Linked DNA regions of Bombyx mori. The protein of the gene in region 1 binds, or shares a complex with, the protein of each later gene. Links are inferred from orthologs where the notes say so. Each region holds a gene or a part of one and is shown in the gene's direction. Other genes may lie near its edges.

Evidence for each region.
Region 2: the proteins of thioredoxin-like protein 4A (region 1) and polyglutamine-binding protein 1 are in contact, whole or in part, in a crystal structure (PDB 4BWQ), measured with the Homo sapiens proteins. The link is inferred for Bombyx mori from reciprocal best matches to the Homo sapiens genes TXNL4A and PQBP1. Residues at the interface, in NP_006692.1 of Homo sapiens: Gly11, Trp12, Val14, Asp15, Ile18, Asp68, Phe69, Met72, Tyr73, Glu74, Met82, Phe84, Asn87, His89, Met91, Gly97, Asn98, Asn99, Asn100, Lys101, Leu129; in NP_001027553.1 of Homo sapiens: Gln241, Gln242, Arg243, Pro244, Tyr245, Pro246, Ser247, Pro248, Gly249, Val251, Leu252, Ala254, Asn255.
Region 3: thioredoxin-like protein 4A (region 1) and protein AAR2 homolog share a complex: the UniProt entries of both Homo sapiens proteins name them as parts of the U5 snRNP complex. The link is inferred for Bombyx mori from reciprocal best matches to the Homo sapiens genes TXNL4A and AAR2.

What each region holds. Positions count from the first base shown.
Region 1 is NC_085120.1:13,294,638-13,298,396, reverse strand, and holds thioredoxin-like protein 4A, read left to right. Parts: upstream 1-1,341; 5' UTR 1,342-2,151; coding exon 2,152-2,229; intron 2,230-2,520; coding exon 2,521-2,657; intron 2,658-3,316; coding exon 3,317-3,530; 3' UTR 3,531-3,740; downstream 3,741-3,759. UniProt on the Homo sapiens protein: Plays a role in pre-mRNA splicing as component of the U5 snRNP and U4/U6-U5 tri-snRNP complexes that are involved in spliceosome assembly, and as component of the precatalytic spliceosome (spliceosome B complex).
Region 2 is NC_085131.1:6,063,920-6,067,508, reverse strand, and holds polyglutamine-binding protein 1, read left to right. Parts: upstream 1-1,425; 5' UTR 1,426-1,704; coding exon 1,705-2,523; 3' UTR 2,524-2,983; downstream 2,984-3,589. UniProt on the Homo sapiens protein: Intrinsically disordered protein that acts as a scaffold, and which is involved in different processes, such as pre-mRNA splicing, transcription regulation, innate immunity and neuron development.
Region 3 is NC_085115.1:3,919,326-3,923,037, reverse strand, and holds the start of protein AAR2 homolog, read left to right. Parts: upstream 1-761; 5' UTR 762-864; coding exon 865-1,067; intron 1,068-1,340; coding exon 1,341-1,543; intron 1,544-1,965; coding exon 1,966-2,223; intron 2,224-2,569; coding exon 2,570-2,696; intron 2,697-2,945; coding exon 2,946-3,363; 3' UTR 3,364-3,712. UniProt on the Homo sapiens protein: Component of the U5 snRNP complex that is required for spliceosome assembly and for pre-mRNA splicing.

The sequences.
Region 1 (3,759 bases):
AGACTTACTTAATTACCGCATCCACGTGTTCCGCAACTCCCGGATCATTCTCACTAGAATACGTAACTTCCATATTTTACTGTATTCAACTGACACAAATTTATATTTATATCCAGTAAACTCCAGTCGTGCGTCGGAGCGGACACACACACTTTTTTTTTCTACCTACGCTGAGAGCCTTGAGAGGCTATTTCAGCGTAACCCTAACTTTTGTAGTTGAGCTCGCGGGGCTCAAACCTGATGACGTTGCTAACACGAACCCTAGCAAGACCCGTGCTTCGCAGAATCTACCACCGGATCGGAAACGCGACCCACTGAGAAGATCCGGCGAGAAACTCAGTGGGCTGTGTCTGAGAGTTAATTTACTCGTCGAGCCCTTCGTCGCAAGCGACGGGTTCGACGAGAACGGTGACCGGTACTTGAAGTACCTAGAAGCACCGTTAGTGGATCGGGAGGATCCGAGATGACGTGTTTTGGGCGACGTCGACTGCTTTCCATTCTGTCCGCAGGATCGGGAATGTAGTTACCGGCGGCCACGATGAGAGGGTTCTCGTGTCGTGCCGCTTTATCGAAGTGGCGCATCGACGCCGACTGTAGATACTTACTGATGGACTCTAAGTCCAGGTCGTCATGGAGGTCGACGTTCCTGACGAACCACGGGGCTCCGACGGCTATCCTGCAAAAACGGGATTGAATAATGTGGAACGATTTTAAGTGAGTGCGGGCCGCGTGAGCGAACACTACACTTGCATAGGTCATGACGGGGCGTATGCAAATTTTGTAGAGTGTCACCTTATTTCTAAGGGACATTTTACTTCGCCTACATATCATCGGGTAGAGACGTCCTAGAATGAAGGCGGCACGGTCGCGTACCGTCTTGATGTGAGGGCGGAATGTCATCCTACTGTCGAGGGTGACGCCTAAATATTTGACCTTCGGGGCCCACGGTATGGGCTGGTCGAACATCGTGATTGGGCGAATGGCGGGGGCGGAGGTGTTGACGCGCCTAGTCGGGAGGGGGATGCTCAGCGTGGTGTTCGGAGGGCGACCCCTTTTGAAGAGCACCGCTGTGCTTTTCGTGGGGTTGATGTCGATTCTAGTGACGACTGCCGGCGCAGCGGCTGCGCAGTGTCTGCGCCAGCCGAACCTACGTCTCGGGGGGAGGTGGGAACTATTGTTGTCACCTCAGCGGTACAATCGATAAAATAACTGCTTTGAACATAAATACTTTTGTTTTAAGGTTTTTTTTATTTTCTTTTTTTATTTTGCAGACGATTTCAGTTGTAACATTACGTTACAACACCCGCACGCTAAGCGGAACCCTAAAGTGTCGAACAACGCCGTGCGACCGACGCCGCGACGCCTCGCAGGATTCGTAAAAATACGGAGGGTCGATAAAGAAAAATTGAATAACGCGCACGCGCCGCGCCGGTCGCTGCACAAAATTATTAATTTTATTTAATTTAAATCCTATAACCTATATCCTATACCTATATAATTTAATTTAAATACCTTGTTGTACCTATAAGAGTTGTAACGATAAAATATATGATTAACATTAAAGCCTCAAATAAATAAACTTCACCTCATTTCATCCATATCATTATTAACTTCATATTAAATTGATATAAATAACAGAATAATTCCATGAAAGATTACGCTGTATGGACTGATACCTCCGCCTTTCTTGTTGGAAAATGGAACTGCTACTGTCATACGTCATACTGTGGTCTGTGATTTTTTTTAAGGTATTTTATGACCTGGTAAAAGTCAGTGTTTGTAAATTTACTCATAGAATAGTCATATCTTAATACCTACATATTATTAAATAATTATAAATTTAAAGTTCTCTATTTCACAGAACATTCTTTTTGTTATGAAGTAACAAAAAAGACAACGCCTGCTCTAAACTTTTTGAACACACTTCTATAGAAAACGTGAACAGTGACGAGAAACAAAATGTGAGAATAAAATAACTTTGGAATGTCTTAGATGTGAAAGGCAAATTTCAGTGAGCAAAATAATATCAATATTTGTTCAGTGGTCCTACAACACGATTATATTTTGCTCATAGCAATAGCAATTTCCAGAAAAAAGAATACAGGAATAATCGTTTGTTTGAAATAATACGTAAAGTAGTTTATTTGCAAAATGAGTTATATGCTAGGACATCTACACAATGGTTGGCAAGTAGATCAGGCCATTCTATCAGAAGAAGACCGTGTAGTGGTGAGTTTTAACTAGATTCATAGAATGTAGAAATCTGAGATTTAGTATCTGAAGACTAAAAATAATAATTATATTCTAACCTTACATCAATAGGTATTTGTTAAAGTATATAAATGCAGTAGAAACCAAGACCTTCAACCTTCTAGTATAAAAAACAATAGATTTTGAATTAAAGGAACTAACAAAATGCTTTGAGCCAAAACAGTTAATAGTTATTTAATTAGTGGCCTAATTGTCTTGCCCTATGATTCAACTATATTAAATGTAATTAATTCTAATTTACATATCTAGGTTATAAGGTTTGGACACGACTGGGACCCAACATGTATGAAAATGGATGAAGTATTATACAGCATTGCGGAAAAAGTAAAAAATTTTGCTGTCATATATTTAGTTGACATTACAGAAGTTCCAGATTTTAATAAAATGTAAGTATACCGTAAAACTACTTGTTCTAAATTTATTTCTGAAATTAAGATTTTGATAGGTTTTCTTAAAACCTTTGTGGAATACACAAGTCCTCCTACCTCCAGTGTTTTAAGGAAATTATGTTGTATTATTAAATTTGTTGTTTTATTAATTATTAAAAAAGTATCATAAGTGAAGAAGCAAAGAACTATGAGTTTTCTAGGAATTCTTAATAAGTCTGGTTCATACAGTAAATGAATTTCATTATCTACATTGTTAATAATTTTTTTCAAATTGTTGATTTTAAGACTAGAGTAGAACAGCAGTTCTTGATCACTGGAATGTTGCAAGTCAAGTGTGTTGTGAAAATTAGAAATACGATATTTCAATTTTTATTTAAGGTGATCTGGGAAATTGCATCTCAGGGATACATGTTGGTTAAATATACAATTGTTTATTAAATATTAACCATACAACAGTATTACATATGAGTGATGTAAATACCAACAACCATCACTCCCAACTATAAATCTTTGCATTTAAGGGTGTCATGTATATATAGAGTATGTTAATACATCATTAAGTAAAAAAGGTTGAAAGTTCTAGTCTAGTAGAAAGGGTCTAGTATATAAAATGACTAAGCAAGGCCTATAATAATATTATTTAAACTTATTTCTAGGTATGAATTATACGATCCATGCACAGTGATGTTCTTCTTCCGCAACAAACACATAATGATTGACTTGGGGACTGGCAACAACAATAAAATCAACTGGCCTCTCGAAGACAAGCAGGAGATGATTGATATTATTGAAACTGTGTACAGAGGGGCAAGAAAAGGACGAGGTCTTGTTGTCTCACCGAAAGATTACTCTACCAAATACAGATATTAGTTTAATTTAAAATAATGTTCCACCTGAATGGTCTAGTAATTTGTAATCATATCTGACATCATAGTCATCATAAATTTAGTAATGTAACTTTTTTTATATAAAAATAAGAACTATACATATTACATTATAACTCATGTGTTTTTGGAATTATGCTGTTCTTCCTGATATTAAACAAAGTAAAAGTAGAATAAATGACAAGTTTTATGCTGATGTAGATCCTTTTTTTTGT
Region 2 (3,589 bases), on another chromosome or scaffold:
TCAGGCGGGTACCAATTTTTCTAATGAAATACGTACTCAACAAATGTTCACGATTGACTTCAACGGTGTAGGAATAACATCGTGTAATAAAAATCAAACCAGCAAAATTATAATTTGCGTAATTACTGGTGGTAGGATCTCTTGTGAGTCCGCCTGGGTAGGTACCACCATCCTGCCTATTTCTGCCGTGATGCAGCGTTTCGGTTTGAAGGGTGGGGCAGCCGTTGTAACTATACTGAGACCTTAAAACTCATATCTAAAGGTGGGTGGCGCATTTACGTTGTAGGTGTCTATGGGCTCCAGTAACCACTTAACACCAGGTGGGCTGTGAGCTCGTCCACCCAACTAAGCAATAAATTAAAAAAACTTCGAAGTGTTTGTTGCATTGGTATAACTGCCTTGTCAGACCGCCACCGTTAAAAATTTTTTGCGACAGAAACTGGTAATTCTCAGTCGTATCGTGAGTCAGGGACTTGGGAAAGATTTGGGATTGGAATAGATGAAGATTTGCATGAAGTACAAGGAATTAAAAAAATACCTGATGTGAATTTCAACCTTTGACCAATTGCGGGTTACTTAAGTGATGTAATTAATTTGTTTTTCAGAAACATCCAGAAACAGTATAATATATTAGGTATACAGATACACGGTTAGAATAACATTCCCAAACGGATATAAAATATGCTTTACTCGTAATCGTTAAATAGTATTGGGGAGGGCAGATTTGATGTATACGTTTGCGATGACCTGCCATCTTTCCCTGCTCGAGGTCATCATATTGTTCTCAACTAAGAAACTAGTTGAATTATAATGACAATAACCTAGATTGAATCATTTTTGCAGAGGTATCAGAGTAATGTGATTGAATAATGCTGTCAATTTTACTTTTTGTGAAAGCTTTTTGAACTCTAAAGAAGGAAAGAGTTAACGCTATAGGCTTAGTTCTTATTAACATTCATGTCACTTTTCCTTTAGATTAAGTGTTTTGACCTTCTACAACAAAGTACTTAAACTGTATGAGCTGTTTCTTTGGCCTGTACCATTGTACAATTAAAAATAAATTTGAAATGAAACCACAATGAAACCAAGTTCATGTTGTAGCTTCTCGGGATTCTCCAGAAAGTCCACTAAAAGTCATTAAATAAACACCATTTTACCGATATTAAATTTCATCCCATATCTCATTTTATTTAATTTCATGCCAAGTGATGAGTGTTCCAAATTAATCGACTTCCTTTCATTTTGCCTCCATATTATCATTTTTCATTATAAAATATACTAGCGACCCGCCCTCGCTTCGCTTCGGAAACTATAATTTATTATTGATATCTCCACTATTTAATGGATGTTATTATACATATAAACTTTCTTCTTCAATCACTCTATCTATTAAAAAAACCGCATTAAAATCCGTTGCGTAGTTTTAAAGATTTAAACATACATAGGGACAGAAAAAGTGACTTTATTTTATACTATGTAGTGATAAAAGATTAGGATATATGGTTATGATACCTTTGCCTTTCCAGTTGGAAAAATAGAACTGCTACTACTACCAAGTTCCTGTTGTTGTTGTAGATGTATAATTATGTGAATTAAGAGTGATTTTACCTAGTTTTCATTACGTTATAACGGGAATAAAATCAGCGAACACTCAAAAACGACCAAAGAAATATCAACGCTAGGCAAGATATACAACACAGCGAAATGCCTTTACCGCCGGCGTTAGCTGCTCGTTTAGCTAAAAGAGGTCTTTTGAAACAAAATGCAGATTCCACCGCTGTCGCATCTGTTGGTCAAATCAACGAAGAAATAATTGCAGAAGATTATGATAGTAAGCCTAACGAAAATGGAAAAGATGAGCCTTGGGAAGGCTTTGTCGATCCTGTCAAAGGCCATCGAGGATGCCCTAATAAAAGTAATATTTATCATGAATGTTCTACTTTTTGTATTAAAAGATGGAAGCAAGGTAAACTGGTACCGACTGAGACATATTTAGAACACAAGGAGAAAGTTTTAGAGCTATGGCCCTTGCCACCAGGATGGGAAGAAGTGTTTGATGAAGGTTATGGTCAACATTATTTTTGGAATGTGCACACTAATCTGGTTTCGTGGATACCACCCGGACATCCCCGTGCTGTGCCTACGGAATCTGCCGCACAATTGCGCGAAGAACGTCTGATGAAAGAAGGCGACGAAAGTGATGAAAGCAGTGAGGCCTCGGATCAGGAAGTTCCGCAGATTCAAAAAGATAAGAAACCTGATCGCCGAGAAAGAGAAAAGGAACATTCACATCATAGAGACAAAAAAAGGCTCAGGGTCAAAGATAATGACTTGGATCCAATGGACCCAGCATCTTACTCTGATGTACCTAGAGGTAATTGGACATCAGGTTTAGATACACATTCTAAAACAGGTGTAGATACCACAGCCTCTGGTTCACTCTATCAAATGAGGCCCTATCCAGCACCTGGAGCAATACTTGCAGCTAATGCAAAACAACATTCTCCACCACCTTCACCATAAGACTTTCATTAGATTGTTTGCTATTATAATACGTAAACTCAGACCTGGCAGTTTTCTTTACATTAACCAAATTAAATGAAATGGTTAGCTGCACTTGTTGTTCTTAATGAATTTGGTATGTAACATGTTTAATTTCTAAATGGGTAGAGCATGTAACCTACCCATTTGCAAGTCTTTTTAGCCTTCTCTGACATTTCTGAAGTTTTATGTATTTCTGCACGAAAGTATGCGAAGTAACAATTTATTTTTACAAAAATTCTTTTTTTATTACCCTTGTATGTAGAAGCTCTTGCTTACTATTAAGTACTCTCAACAAACCTTTTTTGAATGCCTGGCAAAAAACAATATTTTATAAATAGGTAATAATAGTCTTAGATATCTCATAATTCCAGATTTAGGTGTCAGTGAAATCAGATGCACATAATTTACAATACAAAGTAAAAAAAAAAAATTGTTGAAATTATGGTATTTTATTTAAACTTTTCCCATTGTTATTCCACAAATAATATGTTTTATGGACAGAATACAAACTGCATTCCCAAACACACCATTAACTGACGTTAGGCAGCAGTGTCTTTGATTGTTCCGGTTGATATTCACAGTGTAGGTACATATTTTTTATCAAATATCCAAACATAATTGCATTAATGACAAATTCAAGATGTGTAGACAGTTGAGCATACAGCCCATCTGCTGGCGAGTGGCTACCGTCGCTCTTGGACGCACCGCCAGGAACACAAGACAGGCTGTTGCCTATCACTGATTATTCTCCACAAACGTCATTTGAAGTTGGAGTAAATTATAAGTTTTAACATACAGACAATCAATTAAGTAAATGTGCTCTCACAGTATAATATCTTCCCACTGCTATATGAAATATAACTAGGTTTTCGTACACAAATTATAAGAGTTATTTAATAGGTAGAAATAATGAAATAAAATTCGTTGTGCAATTTTTTACATATATCTATAACACTTTAGTTACAATACAAAGTCATGTAAAAATGCAAGATATTTTATGTGATATTGTAAAAATGTTTCATTTTCAGAACAATCCCATTTTTAT
Region 3 (3,712 bases), on another chromosome or scaffold:
GCTGACTTATTCTCTGTTCTATTATGAGTAGCTCCGTTAAGCGTTACAGAAATATAAATTAATGTACCTACCCTCCTGTCTTATGTTTTAGAGAAATTACTTTATAAAAAGCGTGATTCTGTGCTCATGTAGAAAAACAAATCCTAAGATAGCAGACAGATTTAAAATAACAAATTAATTAACTTAATAATAATATGCCGAAAATTAAACATGATATATTTATAAACTTAGTTTTTCAAATGAATTGAGTTATAAAGATAGTCGTAGGTAGCCATGCTGAAAAAATAAACAAATAGAACAAGTGAAGGACACATCACTTAGTTATCTATCTATCTATCTATCTCTTAGGCTTATGGCGTTTCCTTTTAGATTTCGCCAATGTCAAGTGTATTTAATACTCTGCTTTCTATAGCGGGCTTCGTGAACGAGCAAGGTCACAGATATTCACTAAGAATTAAGTGAGTAGCTAAGAATATTTGATGACAGGATCTCTGTTGATTTACCTAAAACAAATAAGACGCACACAATATATATTATACAGGGGTTAGTTCGATAACAGACAGACACTTAGTTACTGTTAAATACAATCGTATTGGGTTATGGTGCTTTTAATGTTTAAAACATTGTTTTACATAGTTGAGAACAAAAACATTATTTCAAACCTAAGAAAATTATTAAAAAATCTATTCACTTCAGTCTGCATTGTACCTACCTTTCACGTTCAGAAACATTCAAATCGGCACGCGTCGAGATTTTGACATTGACGTTTGACACTCACGAATGTAAACACATTGATTGATTGATTGTATGTATTTTTATCATACCATTAATTCATATTTCATTGTTTCGGGAGCATAGTTGGATATGGATCAAGAAACAGCGAAAAAGCTGCTAGTGGAAGGGGGCACGTTTGTATTCTTGAGAGTCCCTTCAGAAACCCAGTTTGGCATCGATATGCAGTGCTGGAACACGGAGGAAGATTTTCGTGGCGTTAAAATGATTCCTCCAGGCTTACATTATGTTCATTACTCTGCTGTCAGTAAAGGTACTGGCGATATTGCACCTAGGTAAGTGCGTTTTATATATACTTTAAAAAAACAATCCTAGTACTATACAAGGAATTCAAGTTTGGAGGTTGTTTTTGGAATCTTATCACTTAATTTTAATATGGTAATTCGATATCAGATTTACACTCAGAATTTACATATTCGAAGCACAAAATATATGTATACAGCTTATTAAGTTTCTTCGTGTATTGTTATTGAACTTATATGAGACTGATATCAATATTATTGTTACTTGCATACCTAAATAAATTACTTTTCTTGATTAAATTCCAGATCTGGCTTCATGCATTACTTTCACAAAAAAGAATTTCTTGTGAAAATGTGGGACAAAAAAACTGAAGATTTGAGCAAGGAAGAGATCAGTGATGAGAGCATCCAACGTTTGAAAGATAATTTATTTAATTTGGACCGACATCTTGCTCCATATCCATATGAAATATGGCAGAAGTGGAAGTTACTGTCTTCACAGATCACTGGTTGGTGTCTTCAATTAAAGAAATACTTGCCCTACAAATCTTGAATGAACTTAGTCTTGTTGAAGTTGGTGGTAGTTCACATTATGAGCCTGGTCATATTGGCATAGTGGAGCATATTGAGACTGGTCACTGTCCTCGCCGAACCCGTCGCTTGTGATGAAGGGCTTAATGAGTAAAATTAACCCATAGACACAGTCTACTGAGTTTCTCACCGGATCTTCTCAGGGGGTTGCGTTTCCGATACGGTGGTAGATTCTGCGAAGCACTGCTATTGCTAGAGGCAGTGTTAGCAACACTCCTGGTTTGAGCCCCGTAAACTTAGGCTTGTATCAGAAAAAACAATTCATACAAGAAACTAAAATATTGTGTTATTCCAGAATCTTATATCAATAATCTGTACTAAGTTTAATTTCTATTGTCAGCTGAACTAGCAGCAAAATTGGCACCAGAAAGTGGAATGATAAGAGCATCAGTTGAGCTTTTATCGATGACTGATGCAGAAAGACCAAGAGGAGTCAAGTCTTCATCTAGTTCAATAAGTCAGGAGAATGAAAAATCTCCCACTAAAGAGGATTTCAGTGAAGAACAGATTGCCGGACACTCAAGTGCTAAGAGAGCTAAAAGAATCACAAGGGAAGAGAAAGAAAAGTCATTGTTACCAGATTTGAAACCAGTTCCAGGTAAATTAATGAAACAAAGATAAATGTAAATAATATTTTTCCCCTATATATCTACTAAAATAAAACTACACGCCTAATTAATTACTGATTGTAGGACCTGTGAGGCTGCATGGATAGGTTATCACCAGCCTGCATATTTCTGCCGTGAAGCAGTAATGTGTTTCGGTTTGACTATACCTTAGAACTTATATCTCAAGGTGGGTGGCGGCATTTATGTTGTATATGCCTATGTGCTCCAGTAACCACTTAACACCATGTGGGCCGTGAGCCTGTCGTCTGTCCACCCATGTAAGCAATAAAAAATATAAAAAAAAATAAAAGAATTCTAAAATGTGAATCTTTACAGGAGCTGCTATGAGATTCACAGAAATACCTCAAGATAAATATCCACCGGATGCAACACCAGAGGAGATCACGAAACATTACTTAGATCAGTCATACTCATTAGAGCTCATGATAGCACAGCATAATGAGTAAGTATCTATTTTTATTAACTGTTAGTATTTTAAGAGAAATTTGAGGGTATCTTAATATAAAATTTTGTTGACTACATACTACATTCATATGTTGATTACATATACAGTTGAATGTCTATGATGGATATTTTAAGCATTGTTCAGTGCCGAAGTTATCAGGAAGCTAAAGTCAAGTCTCGACTCTTGACATGATTAAATGCACAAAAGCCAAAATCTAGAATTCTATATACGTGTTTTATTTTTCAGACCTCTACACATCATAGGAGAACTGCAATTCGCATATTTGTGCTTTTTGATTGGGCACTCCCTAGAGGCTTTTGAGCACTGGAAGAGCCTCGTCATACTCATATGTTCGTGTGACGAGGCCATACACAAATACAGAAGTGTTTTCTTTCACTTCATTAGGACTATTGAGGTGCAAATCGAAGAGATGCCCGAAGATTTCTTAGCCGATATAGTGATGAATAAAAATTTAGTATACAAGAAACTCCGTGAGTTTTTCCGCACGGCTTACGTAAGCAAAGTCGACGGCAGACTTTTGACGATGATTGAACGCTTCAAAGATAACCTGACCGACAAATTGCAATGGGATTTCACTGGTCTAGACGCTGACGATGAAGACGAGAGGCCGGTCGTAGTGAAACTCGACGATGGAACTCAATAGATTATATTTAATGGCTCCTCTTCACAATCGGCCATGATAGGCCAACAAACAATCGTCCATCATCGCCGCCATGATGGGGCAACTCTCCACACAATCGTGAACGTTTATTTACTGACTGTCTACTGATATGTTAAGACGTCTAGGTATCGATGATGGAAATCGAGGAGATCGCGGCTGCGGCAATATTTTTAGTTCTATATAGTCTATATAGTCATTTAGTTAATGTGCGCGAAAAAAGAATCGTGAAAACTTTTTTTTCTTAAATCCCTCTTGTAGACAGACGGAGTCGCCCATGGACTTCAGCAATGCAAGATGAAAGAAGATAAGGTGGTGGGTGGTGGTTATCAAT